Arabidopsis thaliana: one gene and its partners. The protein of the gene in region 1 interacts with the protein of each later gene in a biochemical or structural test. Each region holds a gene or a part of one and is shown in the gene's direction. Other genes may lie near its edges.

Region 1 (5,851 bases):
TACATGAGAAACCTAAATTCAACGAGCTAATCTACACAAATCTTAACTTGAACACTAAAAATCTAGACATCTCTACTCAATTCGAAACAAATGATTCGATTCACGAACCGGAACACTTTTAGGAACTTCGAAACGGCTCACTGCAAGCACAATATCTCGATTCCTCAAGGATCCGATTCCGGTGCGAACGCGGTTATTAGATCCATCGAACTCATCGGACTTTCTGGATCCGGGAGCGAACGAAGAGCCGTAGTAGAGGCAAGTCAAGCCGAGTAGAGCGATGAAACCGACGAGAACGTAGGTGAAGAGCTTCGGAGTCGCACGGACTCGCTCAGTTCTGAAGTGTTTCATTCTCAGCGTCTCCGGATCCGGATCTAGATCTGACCCGATACTGAGGACCCGGAAATCTAGCTGCCGATGAAGAGTGGATAGTGTGAGAGCTACAGTAGATTCCCTCGAGGTCGAAGACGACGAAATAGACCAGTGTCGGATTTTACGTGCAAGGGAATATTTGGTTAGCTGTGATCCTCTGTGGCAAGGACTAGGGTTGTTTCTATGCTCCTTAACTAAAACACGCGGTTAAAACTAAATGGGCCTGTAGGTAGCATACATGTGCTTTTAAAGAATAATATTGGGCTTTATATAGTTTCTTATTGGGCTTTATACTTGTGTTTTCGATTTTTAGTTTTTGTATCTTATAGTTGTAACTTTTATATATTTTTATGAAACGGTCAAACACTCGAACACATTCAATTGTAGAAGATAATAAATCATCAATAGATTTCTTTGATTTCAATTCAGTTTTAATGTTCCTATACTATTATGGAAAGTATATGAATAAGTTGACCAAACAAAATGGAGAGTACTTATTAATTACTAGGTTCAGTGAATCTTCTTCAGGTAACATTTGTTTTAATTTTTTTGGTGTAAATGTTAAGAAAATAAATACATTTGTTATTCAACCATGAATATAGTGGTTTGTGTTACATTTATTATTTATATAATGGATATTAAGAATGTCGTGGCGTTCACTAGTCAGTATTACACTTATATAATGCATATTAACATTCGTTATTCTAGTTTACTCCAGTCCATTAGATTCGAAATGCTTTTATGAACTATATAGAGGAACTAATACGATTTTATTCTATAATTATTTGGTTTGAAAGTGCAGTCCACGTATTTCTTGTTTGCTCCTTGAAGGAACTGTCCAAGAAAGAAAAAAAAGAGTAGCATAAATCACGGGTACGAAGTTTCATACTTTAATGTAAGTCCATTTAAGTTTCACGTGTTGTGTCTTGCTCACCGAAGGAAGCAAAAACTTTTATACTGAAATTAAGACAACTTTAGTTAATCAATAATTTGCACACAAGAAGAAAAAAAGGTTAATCAATTATAAGCATGAGTGCATCATGAGCGAGAACTCTCGAGCAAAGAAAAAAGAAGACGAATGGATGATAATTTAAAAGTCAAACTCTCAATATTTGTAGTCTACAAGGTGCAATATTCAACAGTACCTATCGAGTAAATCCGAAAAGGGAAAAAATTGACGTAGTTAAGGAACATTGACAATTTAACCGCACGACGAAGGAAAGATATTGAAGATAGGATAGGATTGTCACGTGGTCGGAAACTTCTGATAACCATCCATTTCATCCCCAAAGGTATTTATTGCATTGTTATTATACTATTAGTATTTGCCCAAATCATACAGAAGAAGTTTTTTTTGTTTGGCAGTCCTATTTATATGATACATCATTTCTAAACTTCTGAGTTGCAATTTTTTAAACTAATTATTGATTATGTTTTCCTTCTTTAAGTATTTTTTATTCATATAATTTACATATGTATAATACAATCCTCTAGATTAAAAATTTGGAATTAAAAAATGTTAGTTTAGTTATTGACTATTTGTACTTTTTAAGAAATGGTCAATTTAAGAATTTCAAGTAATCAAAAGAAATTGTCAATTGATACCATGTTATGACTTTGGATATCGATAATAATATTATAGGGCCAATTGTTGGAAGAGAGAATAAAATGTGGGGTAAAATTAGAAGAAGTTTCCACCATTAGCGTGCTTCACACTTTTTTAAAAACAGAAAAGTGATTAGTCTCCTAATGATTTCATAGAAACAAACCAAATACAACAAACAGAAGAAAAGTGAAATTGCTTTCGAACAAAAGGAGGAAACTTTAAAGGCGAACTCTTTAGTATTCGATCCGCCATTGAAGCTCCTCTGACTCTCTCTCAAAGTACTTCTCTGATTCGTCATTCCTCTGCTTCGTTTAGTTTAAAGGTAGACAACTTTTCCTCTCAATCGAATTGGGTCATTTTCTGATGAATGTCGGGAGATTCAATCTCGAATTAATGTTATTTTTCGATTTTGGGGTAGTCTTTGGTTTGATGAATCAGAGAATGTTTCAGTTCAATTCGGCGAAATTGGAAAGCTCGTAGATTTGTCAGAAACTGGTTTTTGTTTGTTTTACTTATTGTGGGTTAGAGTGTTGGAGTAGGTTTTCGTAATAGGACTTTTATCTTAATCTAGAAGTCACTAAATCGCGTATTGTTGTGGAAAATTACGTGACGTGATTGAATCTCCTTTCTTTATATAAACATCTCTACCAACCTTCGATTTTAAAGAGCGGTGAGATAATTCAACATCTGTCAAAGATAAAGCTTTCACCTTTTCTTAACGAATTAGGTATAGGTAAATTGCATCTTCTAATAATGTCAGAATCTTAAACAAAGTTTCTGCTTTTTTTTTCTGGGGTTTCATGAATATACTCTAAAGGCTAAATCTTTGTTTTGCAGGGTACGGAACTGACCTGAGAGGTTTGATTTGAATCTAAAAAGGTTTAGTTTTTTGTTAAGTTTGATGGGGACAGGGAATTCTAAAGAAAACTGGAGACAGTCATCGTTTAGGTCAACTTCTGCTTCATCAGCATCACCATCTTCATCTTCATGGGCTTCTCAACAAAGTTATCCTCAGTATGGTGCAGAAAGCTATAATTACCCTCCTCCACCTTCTTATGCCCAACCTCCTGAGTATACGCAACCTCCTCCTCCTTTATATAGTACTCAGCCTTACTCTGCTCCGTCTTATTCTGCACCGCCTTCTCAAAGTTATGGTAGTGATAATAAGAAGAGGTTGGAGCGCAAGTATTCGAAAATTTCTGATGATTACTCTTCTTTGGAGCAGGTTAGCTGAGTCTCGCGTTGGTTTTTAGTGGAATCTAGTGTGTGTTCTTTGATGATTACAAAACTTGAAAACTGTAGATTCTCATGGGTTTGACAGAAAAGATTCACATTATGTTCTGTTTTCGTTTTAGGTGACGGAGGCTCTTGCACGGGCGGGTCTAGAATCTTCAAATCTCATCGTTGGTATTGATTTCACTAAGAGTAACGAATGGACAGGTTGGTGAGATTCTAGATTCTGTCTTTGTGTAATGCATCAAATGGTTTCACTCTCAAAATCATACTTTGCTTGTTTGATAACAGGGGCCAGGTCCTTCAATAGGAAAAGCTTACACTTCATAGGCAGTAGTCCCAATCCTTATGAACAAGCGATAACTATCATAGGAAGAACCTTAGCCGCCTTTGACGAGGACAACTTGATTCCATGTTATGGTTTTGGAGATGCATCAACACATGATCAAGACGTGTTCAGTTTCAATTCAGAGGATAGATTCTGTAATGGATTTGAGGAAGTACTTTCCCGGTATAAGGAGATCGTGCCTCAACTTAAGCTTGCAGGTTTATTTCTTTTCCTTATTTGGCCGCATTTTCATGAAATGCTAGCTAAATTCTTAAATGTGAATGTTGAATACTTCTGCAGGGCCAACCTCCTTTGCTCCGATCATCGATATGGCCATGACCATTGTTGAGCAGAGTGGTGGGCAATATCACGTCCTAGTGATAATAGCAGATGGGCAGGTACGAATAAAACCAGTATGATGTTATGAACCTTTGTTTTTGTGTCAAAAGAAGAAACCTCAATGAACCATTTCAGGTTACAAGAAGTGTTGACACGGAAAATGGACAGTTAAGTCCACAAGAACAGAAGACGGTAGATGCGATCGTGCAAGCGAGGTTGGAATATTGTCCAATCTTTTGACATTGTTCTCTCCATTGAAGTTATATCTCTTTTTGGCTGGCTTTTCTGATGTGAACTTTTTCTCTGTGACAGTAAGCTTCCTCTATCAATCGTCTTAGTCGGGGTGGGGGATGGACCTTGGGACATGATGAGGGAATTTGACGATAATATTCCGGCCAGAGCGTTTGATAACTTCCAAGTAAGTTTCTTTCTAGCTAATAACATCGAAGTTAGTTTGGTGTTTTAATCTGATGTTCTGTTTCTAGTTCGTGAACTTCACAGAGATCATGGCAAAGAACAAAGCTCAATCCTTGAAGGAAACAGAGTTTGCCCTTTCTGCTCTCATGGAGATTCCTCAACAATACAAGGCGACAATAGAGCTTAACCTTTTAGGGTAAATCCCCAAACATAATCTTTATCAATTTTCATCCCAAAGTTGTCAACTTTTTCCTTACCCTTTTAACTTTTTCCGCAGAAGAAGAAATGGATATATCCCGGAGAGATTCCCTCTTCCGCCTCCAATGCGCGGTGGATCATCGTCCTACAACAGTCCAAAGCCTTCACGTCTTCCAAGTTTCAAACCGAGTGTTCCTCCTCATCCAACTGAAGGCTATCACGTAAGGTCTAGTCCCGTCCCACCCCCTACAAGCTCTGCTTCTGATAACCAGGTACTTCTAAAATCAGAAATATACTTGGAAATTAATCAGTCTGAAACGTTATTTGAAAAAGTTCAAAACTTGATGTTATTGGATCTTTTGAACAGCTATGTCCGATTTGTTTGAGCAACCCGAAAGACATGGCCTTTGGTTGTGGCCATCAGGTAAAATCGAAACAAACACAATTTCCATCTTCTGCATCTACTTAATCGATCAAAACATCAAACTAACTTGGCTTCTGTTTTTGATACAAGACTTGTTGCGAGTGTGGACCAGATCTTCAAATGTGTCCGATTTGCCGTGCACCAATCCAGACAAGAATAAAGCTCTACTAACAAACAAGTAGACCAGACATCGACGACCCTTCTCTCTCTTTCATCTTCTTTCAACTTCTTTTGGGAATTTAGTTTGAATCTAATCACTGAAATTTCTCCGAGAAAGATCGGATCTTTTGTATAAAGAAAAAAACAATGCTTGTTCGTTTACTCACTTTCCTAACTTCATCTTGTCCCAAAACCTTTGACTTCTTTCTTTCTTTCTATCTTTCTTCTTTGCTTGGAGTAAAAAAATTGTTATTCATGTGCCCATGTCTTTTTTTTTCCTTCTTTCTTTGTTCAAATAAATTTTGATTCTTATAATTTGGTTATTTGAAAATTGAGAAAATCATAAGAAATACATCTACTTTTTCTTTCATATAAAGAGCCTCCGTATTAGCTATACTATACAAATCACATGCTGTCCGAAAAAGTGGTAGCTATATACCTCACAATGGTACAAATCATCTAACCTCGTACCTTACTTCAGTAACAGAGATATATATGTTAGTTCCATGCTAATCCAACTTACGCTAAAAACAATAAACTATTCTATGTGTATTATTGTACCTGAGATTTTAGACCGCATTTCAGTTTTTTAGAAAATAAATATTAGGGGCATTGCATTCTAAATGTAGATTTAATTTGTAGAATGACGGTACCAATTCGTCTAGAGCAAAATATTTCATCATTTTTTTATAAGTATCACATATATTTCAGTGATATCCTCACAGATTTATAGAAAACCATTTATTGTAGGGGGGGGGGATAAATTGGAAAAAGA
Region 2 (4,720 bases), on another chromosome or scaffold:
TGTCTTTGATATATTAGATCACTGTTAAAGGTGTGCGACCTGCAACAGAGTGGTCTTTTCCCGATCAAGTTAACATTTAATAACAACGTACAAAATGTATGACATAAAAAAGTGTTTTGACTAACGACTAACAGCGATACGACTAACAGTGGTTCAACTTGTGCTTGGCTTCGACTAACAGACGCTTCGACGAAATGTGAAGTAAAAACAATAATTGTTCAAGTAATATTCATACTTCGCCTAAAACGGTTTTTATATAAGCTTTTTTTAAATAAAGTGTGATTTTTGCACTTGCCTTTAAATGCGGAATTGCGGAAGTGTTTTCAAGTGTTACGAATAACTATGTTTTGACTAAAATGTTAGGAGTAATTTGCCTGACTAGTTTAGGAGTACGTGTTCGTGATTTAATATTGTGTTCAACAGTATAACTAATGTACTTCACTAAGTATGCTTTGTTTAGAAGTATGCTTGGAAATATATGTTTCGACTTTTAAGTAAATTGATCTAGTGTTTTACGTGTGTTCGGATTTAGATATAAGTTTTTTGAGTAAGTGCTTCGACTAAATTTTGGCTAAAGGGATTTTGTTGAATTAATTAAGTGTTAATGTAATTTTAAAGACGTAAGAAAATACACATTTATTAGTCGTGTGTGTATCTTGTTAAATGTGTTTTTTTTTGGTTGAATGGTTCAGTGCTACGACTTTGACTATTTTTTGTTGAAAATAATTTGGTGTTTACTAAGTATGTTTCAACTATTTTAATTTTTTAGTTGTGAGTTTTAATTAAAAGTTCCGCATCATATCTTTTTTTAAGAAAATATTTTTTAGTTACTGAGTGTTTTACTACTAAATGATATAGTGTTTATGAGTGTGTTATTAAAGTAGAATTAAAAAGTTTACACTAGAAAGTGTTTCGAGTGATGAGTATTTCGACTAAAAAGTGCTTCAATTATTATTGATAGTAGTTGATTTTTGGAAAGGATTGAAAACTAACCTGGCGGAAATTGCAATTCATGTTTATGCTTTAGCTCTCTAAGTAGTGGATATTGTTGTTCGCTTGTTGAAGCTTTGTCCTCCTCATCAGAATTAATGATCCCTCGCAAAAAATATTATATCTTGATTAAAAACATTATTAGGACTATTATCAAATAAATAATAACGAAAATAAAAGATTCATGGTTTAAATTAAGGCATTGCACCGTATTCATTTGTCAACATATAAGTTTTAAACGAAGTATCAACAATACGAATAACATAGAAATCAAAATCCAACATGGGTCAAAACAAAGTACTAAGAGCCAAGAAGAGTAATTCCGACTAAAAACACCCAAACAATACAACAAGAAAGAAACTGGAAATTAAAGTACATAGAGACAGAAAGGTAATGTACAAAGGTTTTACATAGACACAGTTTTCGCTTTTCACCGTAAAGTAAAGTACAAAGTAACTCACCGATGATTGGCTGAGTTTTGCCGCCGAAGATGAAGAGAGAATCAGACAACAAGAGACAAAAAGAGAATAGGTTTCTATCTACATGTCTTGGTTTGGATTAGATAATTTAGGAGTAACGAGGACTGTGTTGTGTGTATTACTATATATAGACAAGTTTTCTTTACCGTTGGGTAAAATCACTAACGGATAGTTTTCGAATTCTCAGCTTTTGACGTCATAGTTACCGTTCTGACATCCTCAACGGCTAACTCACAGTGAACCTACTACCTAGTTCGCTACTTTAAAGTCGTATTATTCTTGATGGGCTTTCGAGATCGGCCCAACCCAATGAAATGTTTAAAGTTTTACAAGTCCAATATAAAATGACAAGCTTAATGGATAAACTGGATTTGGTTAAGGTCCATTATAATAAATATGGGCCTCACATATAAATGGCTTTGATGGACCAATAAGCCCGGAAATCTGAGAAAATCTATGTAATATTCGAAAACTGTTGGGAAAAATCAATAAATAAGTAGAACTTTAGGGAGGGTTAGCAATAAACAAAGGTTGCGGGAAAATACGTAAAATAAAAGCTAATATATTATTTGATTCGTCCAGAGTTGAATTTTAAAGATAGAGAAAGGAAATCGAATTAAAATCTTCGTCAGATTCGAGAGACGACGACGACGAACTTGTTGTTCTCGATTATCATCAGCAGCTCCCTTCAAAAACCCTAACTCTCTGAGCTCGATCGACAAGTGATAATGGCCAACAGTAATTTGCCGCGAAGAATCATCAAGGTTTGTTTTCCAATCTCGATTTGATTCCTTGGACAAACTCTACCGATCTCTGTTTCTATCGGAGTCTCTTAACTTTTGTTTTCCTTGCGATCTGATAGGAAACTCAACGTCTGCTCAGTGAACCGGGTAAAAAACTCTTTAATTCGTCCTGCCTTGTTGAGTTATAGTGTTGATTTTGAGATGATAATATCAATTTTGATGGTTGAATTGTGGATCCGAGACGTGACCGTCCATGGAGTTTGGAATTTGGTTGTAGAGTAAGATTTAAATCTGATTATAACTTCGATTGATTTGATTGGTGCAGCTCCCGGTATAAGTGCCTCTCCATCTGAGGATAATATGCGGTATTTCAACGTTATGATTCTTGGTCCTACACAATCACCTTATGAAGGTAGTCAAATAGTCTTCTGATAATCCGAGTATTAGATTTTTTGCTTTGAGAGTACAACATGTTTATGTCAAGCAATGATTGCTAATGCTCTTGTATCTTGTTTGTGACACTAGCTAGTGTTAAGTATAGTCCTGAATATACATACACAACTGTACTTAGTTTTATTATTAACACATTCGATTTGTTCTGTTGCGTACCAGATGCTAAGTTTAAAACTTGTACCTTTTTTCTTTTTCTCCTTTGAATATGCTCTCTCTTAAAATTTTAACTTTTTACTGAGTGATAGATTCCATCTTATAGGAGGAGTTTTCAAGTTGGAGCTCTTTTTGCCTGAAGAATACCCTATGGCAGCTCCCAAGGTAAGTCATTTGACTATAAGTAGTGTCAGCTATAAGAATCTAGTTATTAAGCGAATATATTGGTTTGGTATTTATTTGTACACATACCAAATGGTCTCTGAGATCCATGATTCTGGTTGGATTATGAGTGACGTACATGTAATGTCATATTTCTTGTCATTGTTTCTCTTTTCATATGGATATAGTTCTTGAACGTTTGATTTTTTGTAAATGGTTTGTGTAGAGCATTTCTCTATTCTCTAATGACTCTATTAATGATTTAATCTGTTACAGGTTAGGTTTCTCACAAAGATATACCATCCTAACATTGACAAGGTCTGTTCCAAATCCCTCCTCTTTTTCCTTTGTCATCCACACAACCAAAGACATGCTCCTAAACTTGTGTCTATTTGAGCAGCTTGGAAGAATCTGTCTTGATATTCTCAAGGACAAATGGAGCCCTGCACTACAAATACGAACAGTGCTCTTAAGGTATATGAGCTGATTACATAAGATTATTTCCTGCTAAAAACTATTGGTTTCTTGGAGCTTGACTTCTGCTCCTATTTTATTAACGTGTGCAATCCTTATAAAGTATTCAAGCTCTTCTGAGTGCACCAAACCCAGATGATCCGCTTTCTGAGAACATTGCTAAGCACTGGAAGAGTAATGAGGCAGAAGCTGTGGATACAGGTGATGTGATTTTAACACTGAATTTAAACTTGTTACAATATCTTTCTACTCTTTCTTTCTTTCTTTCTTTCTAAACGTTGTGTTAGTATCTCACATCCTTGTGAACTATATCTGTGCAGCTAAGGAATGGACCCGTCTTTATGCAAGCGGCGCATGATAAATTGGAGGGTGAAAACTGAAAAGATCTCTTTCATCCAAATAACATTACATTTGCTGAAATCTATCTCAACATCAAAGTTATAAGAAAGCTTATATTTTGCTGGTTATTTCCCCCCGCCACTGCTCTGTAATCTCTCTTAATCACACTGTATCATTACTCCTAGGATCAATACTCGTTCTTATATTTGAAGTTCGTCAAAGTCTTTTGAGTAAAAAATATCTATATTTCTCTAGTGTCTAAGCTCTGTAAATTCTAAGTTTCATCAAAATCCATAGGTTACTTACTGATCATTGTTGGAATTTACTTCTTTTACAAATTGGCAGTGATGTAGAGAGAGTTTGTAATTTATATACATTTCCCCGATGAGGTGATTCTGTTGTATTTTTGGAAAGAGTTGATCTCAGGAAGAAACAATAAGGAGGAAATAATAAATACAATCCACATGCAACGGGAACATTCCAAACTAAAAAGATAATCCCCATTACATTAGATCACAAATTAGGTCGAAAAAAGAATAACTAGCAGAGCTTTACAAATTACAAACCATAAGGCAAAGAAGAGTGCCCACAACACAAATTAAGTTGTAGAAAAGAAATCCACATCCATCATCATCATTATCATCCTAATGTAATAATAACTCGATATAAAAAATAAGAAATATTAAAAGAGAGAAGAAAAAGAAAACACTACCATAAACCACCAACCAAAGGAATCATCATCAGTAGAGAGCGAAAAGGCCACCAACCAAGAACACATTTCAGATTTCATGAAAAATATTAATGAAGCCGAAGTGGAGCAGTGAAATTTTCGTCTACCAACCGTGGAAGAAGAAGGAAAAGAAAGACTTCCACTACTACTGCATCAGACAGGAATTGCATCTACGTTCGATGAATCTTCGCATCTCA
Region 3 (3,812 bases), on another chromosome or scaffold:
GGGCTTGTGTTTTAAAATCGATAATATAATAGAGTTAATTACACATGAGGTTATTAATGATTTAAATACTGATTATACTGAAATTGCACAATTGTTTTGAAAATGATAGTATGTTCTATACTTGACATCTCAATATTTTGACACTACTACACTTTAAGCGATTAATGAAAAAATATTAAAGTTTCAATCAACTTTGCACACAAAAAAAAGTTTCAATCAACATTTGAAGAGTGTCGAACATGCACCTCACCAATCACATTACACTATAACTTTTCTACACCTTTCTTTGGGATGCTAAATTTCAATGAAAATTTTCTTATTAAGTTTCTATTTGCTAAAGGGGGCAGAAACATCAAAGGTCAAATGATTTAGTTACCAAAGTCAACGGCTTAACATCATAAAATCATCTTCTAGGAATCAATGTCCCTTTGAGTAGCCTTCATAGTATAATCTTCAAAACTTTGGCAAGTTAATATATAAATATGAAGCACTCATAATATAACTGGTATAAGATAATGGTTTGGGATTTGACATTCGTTGCATTCTTAATCAATCTAATCGTTTTCTCAAACTGCTGCCAATAAATTTAAAAGAAGAGAAAAACTTATTAAGTAGAATGATGGACCACGTTAAAATATCTTAATAAGAATACTACATAAAATACTAATGGATAGTGTATAAGTTTAATTGGAATAGCAAGTTTTATGATTGGAGAGATAGAGCATAGAGAGATAATGAAAGTGGAGAGAGCTGACCCATTCATTCACCGACTTTTTAAGCTTTAAGCTGTTGACTTTTTCTTCTAACACGAACCTTTTCCCTTGTCTTTGTTTTCTTTTTGTTTTGTTTTGTTTTGGAGTTTGTTTATCTTTATCTGCCGAAAGTTTAAGACTTCAGCCTCCCACCTTGGCACCTCCTTGCGTCCACGTCATCTTAATATGTACCAAGGTTTCTAAGTTCTTCATGTCAATAGACATTATAACATATTTGGAATCCATATTATGCAAGGAGACATCGGTTTTACTAATGCGAATTGAGGGGCTTGTATAAAATCGGTCTGCTTCAGAAAACATTCCATTTTTCAACCCTTGAAAGTCCATTCAGTTTACCATCCAAGAGTTTTTCCTTGTTGTGAATGATAAGAAAATCCATAACATTTATCTAATTTTATCGTATTGGAAAAATAATTTAATATTTCTGAATACATTTATTAAAAATATAGTTAAAAACGATGTATTTTTAGCGTTTTATAATTATTTAGCATTATTTAGATGTTTTCGTTATTTTGTTATTACATCATTTTAATTATTATTCATGTGACTTGAAATTAATTACTTTTTAAGGTCGAATCTTTTTTTACGCCTGCCTTTACACTTCTTATTAGAAGGTTATGTATCGAAACAGCCATCCAAAATTTAAATAAATTCTAAAAGAAGTTATATATATTATGAATGTATGGTGATACTGACATGGGTAGGGTACATTCTTTTTCTATTGAGTTAGTTGATACGTTAAGTTGGATGAGATATAACTTATACTATCATATAAGCTTTTTTTAATTTGTGTGTTTCAAGTTTGGTCGGTTTTGTTTATGTCTTTTGTAGGTGGGGTATACAGAAAAATAAGAGAAAAAAAAACAAAGTCAAAGCTGACTTTGACGACAAATCGCTAACCTTCGAGAGATGATGATAACAAGCCTAATTAAAATACACGTTACGTCGCAATCAATTGCTTCAATCTCATTCTCATTGCATGTCATCCTTAGCCGCGGTTAGCCGACCATACTATCAACGATGTGCATACTATCAACAATGTATTTGTAATAATTAAGTAGAAAAATAAAGAATGTTCCACCGTCCAAAAGAAACACAAGTACGGTCCTGAGAGGGCTTGAGATATTTTGCTTAGTGATATATGTCAACATCTTAGTTAAGCCCCACCGGTTCTGATATAAAAGTGGGGAAAATATTTCATAACCACACAACAAATCTCTCTGTTTCTCCCGCTCTTGCTCTGTTTTCTCAAAGACAAAAGAGGACATCGTCGTTGACTCCTCTTCTCTATGGCTACTGCTAAGAACAAGGGAAAATCAATCAGGGTCCTTGGTACCAGTGAAGCAGAGAAAAAGGATGAGATGGAGTTGGAGGAGGAGTTCCAGTTTAGTAGCGGCAAGTATAAAGATTCGGGTCCTGGCTCGGACATGTGGTTAGGAGATGCTTCCTCTACGTCTCCAAGAAGTCTTAGGAAGACTAGAACCTTTGACCGACATAATCCCTATCTCGTATCTTCTTATGCTACTCCTCAGCCGCCAACAACAACTACATGCTCTGTCTCTTTTCCCTTTTACCTCCCTCCAGCGATTCAAAATCAACAACGATTTTTACACCCGAATGACCCTTCAGGACAAAGACAGCAACAAATGATCTCGTTTGATCCTCAACAACAGGTGCAACCATATGTTGCACAACAGCAGCAACAACAACAACATCTATTGCAGTACTGGAGAGACATTCTGAAGCTGAGTCCGAGCGGAAGAATGATGATGATGAACATGTTAAGACAAGAAAGCGATCTGCCACTGACGAGGCCACCGGTTCAACCCTTCAGCGCCACCAAGCTATATAGAGGTGTCAGGCAACGCCACTGGGGAAAATGGGTTGCCGAGATCCGTAAGCCACGAAACAGGACACGTCTCTGGCTAGGGACATTCGATACAGCAGAAGAAGCCGCCATGGCCTACGACCGCGAGGCCTTCAAGTTGAGGGGAGAGACCGCTAGGCTCAATTTCCCTGAACTTTTTCTCAATAAACAAGAGCCAACTCCCGTGCATCAGAAACAATGTGAGACGGGGACTACTAGTGAAGACTCAAGCAGAAGAGGAGAGGATGATTCGAGCACGGCATTGGCAGTAGGAGGGGTGAGTGAGGAGACGGGTTGGGCTGAGGCATGGTTCAATGCAATTCCAGAGGAATGGGGACCTGGAAGCCCTCTATGGGATGATTACCACTTTCCCATTTCTAACCATAAGGACGATCTTGACGCCACACAAAACTCTTCTTCTGATACAATTTAGGACCTTTGTTAGAATATAGATATGCTTAGTTGTATGACTGATCTAGCTTGTGTTTTTTTTTTGGGTGGAGACAGTTTTTGTCATCTTCCACATTTTAGATTCTATTTTCGACCATCATTTTTTTCTTGATCGGTGACTATGAATCTAATGGGGTCAATCATTTTCACATATAAAACTTAAGTATTTGGTGTTTGTACTTCATCAGTTCATCTTATTCCATAGAAAGAGAGTGAGAAGTGATCAATAACCCTTTTAACTGAAAAAAAGAAGAAGATCAAAACCTAAATAAGATTTAAGTACATATGTCTAATTCGACGTAAGACATTTTTGGAAACGATCAATGTACTAACGAGTTGAATTCTGATGAATCTTGAGCATGAATAAACGGACTTTGTAGTTTGTACAATTGATAATGAAACAGAGAGCAACATTATGTACATGTGATATATGCTGCATTTATTTATGGGCTTTTATTAGATGGACCGAGCTCTAGCAAAATCCAAAGTAAATGGGCCTAATCCTAACGTGGACAGACAAGGGACACGTGTCACACTACCGACATCTCGTGGAGTTGGATAAGCCACTCGAAAGTCGAAACTCAGAAGATCCAACCAGAGCCATCATCATCCTTCCAATGGCTATTACTTGAGAACTCTTCTGATTAAACATAGCAACAACAACAACTCTTCTTCTCCTCTCTTTCTCACTTCAATTTAGCGATGGCTGCAACTGCAATCTC

What was found.
Region 2: of the proteins of RGLG2 (region 1) and UBC35, one has a biochemical effect on the other in vitro, tested with the Arabidopsis thaliana proteins (one study listed by BioGRID).
Region 3: of the proteins of RGLG2 (region 1) and ERF53, one has a biochemical effect on the other in vitro, tested with the Arabidopsis thaliana proteins (one study listed by BioGRID).

Annotation. Positions count from the first base shown.
Region 1 is NC_003076.8:4,647,592-4,653,442, reverse strand, and holds RGLG2 (RING domain ligase2), read left to right. Parts: upstream 1-2,000; 5' UTR 2,001-2,300; intron 2,301-2,566; exon of another isoform or gene 2,567-2,815; 5' UTR 2,816-2,879; coding exon 2,880-3,203; intron 3,204-3,333; coding exon 3,334-3,418; intron 3,419-3,502; coding exon 3,503-3,757; intron 3,758-3,839; coding exon 3,840-3,937; intron 3,938-4,013; coding exon 4,014-4,093; intron 4,094-4,190; coding exon 4,191-4,296; intron 4,297-4,363; coding exon 4,364-4,491; intron 4,492-4,572; coding exon 4,573-4,765; intron 4,766-4,860; coding exon 4,861-4,917; intron 4,918-5,007; coding exon 5,008-5,088; 3' UTR 5,089-5,332; downstream 5,333-5,851. Other genes in the region: AT5G14430 (S-adenosyl-L-methionine-dependent methyltransferases superfamily protein), read right to left, coding at 109-351. UniProt on the Arabidopsis thaliana protein: E3 ubiquitin-protein ligase that mediates the formation of 'Lys-63'-linked ubiquitin chains. Regulates apical dominance by acting on the auxin transport proteins abundance.
Region 2 is NC_003070.9:29,648,392-29,653,111, forward strand, and holds UBC35 (ubiquitin-conjugating enzyme 35), read left to right. Parts: upstream 1-1,984; 5' UTR 1,985-2,197; coding exon 2,198-2,233; intron 2,234-2,331; coding exon 2,332-2,359; exon of another isoform or gene 2,360-2,537; coding exon 2,538-2,624; coding exon of another isoform or gene 2,625-2,627; intron 2,628-2,924; coding exon 2,925-2,983; intron 2,984-3,256; coding exon 3,257-3,298; intron 3,299-3,380; coding exon 3,381-3,454; coding exon of another isoform or gene 3,455-3,467; exon of another isoform or gene 3,468-3,557; coding exon 3,558-3,655; intron 3,656-3,774; coding exon 3,775-3,812; 3' UTR 3,813-4,220; downstream 4,221-4,720. Other genes in the region: AT1G78880 (Ubiquitin-specific protease family C19-related protein), read right to left, coding at 4,677-4,720. UniProt on the Arabidopsis thaliana protein: Catalyzes the synthesis of non-canonical poly-ubiquitin chains that are linked through 'Lys-63'. This type of poly-ubiquitination does not lead to protein degradation by the proteasome. Mediates transcriptional activation of target genes.
Region 3 is NC_003071.7:8,983,991-8,987,802, forward strand, and holds ERF53 (Integrase-type DNA-binding superfamily protein), read left to right. Parts: upstream 1-1,968; 5' UTR 1,969-2,062; coding exon 2,063-3,073; 3' UTR 3,074-3,312; downstream 3,313-3,812. Other genes in the region: photosystem II reaction center PSB29 protein, read left to right, coding at 3,793-3,812. UniProt on the Arabidopsis thaliana protein: Transcriptional activator involved in abiotic stress tolerance. Can directly regulate stress-related gene expression by binding to the DNA sequence 5'-[AG]CCGAC-3' (DRE element) of their promoter region.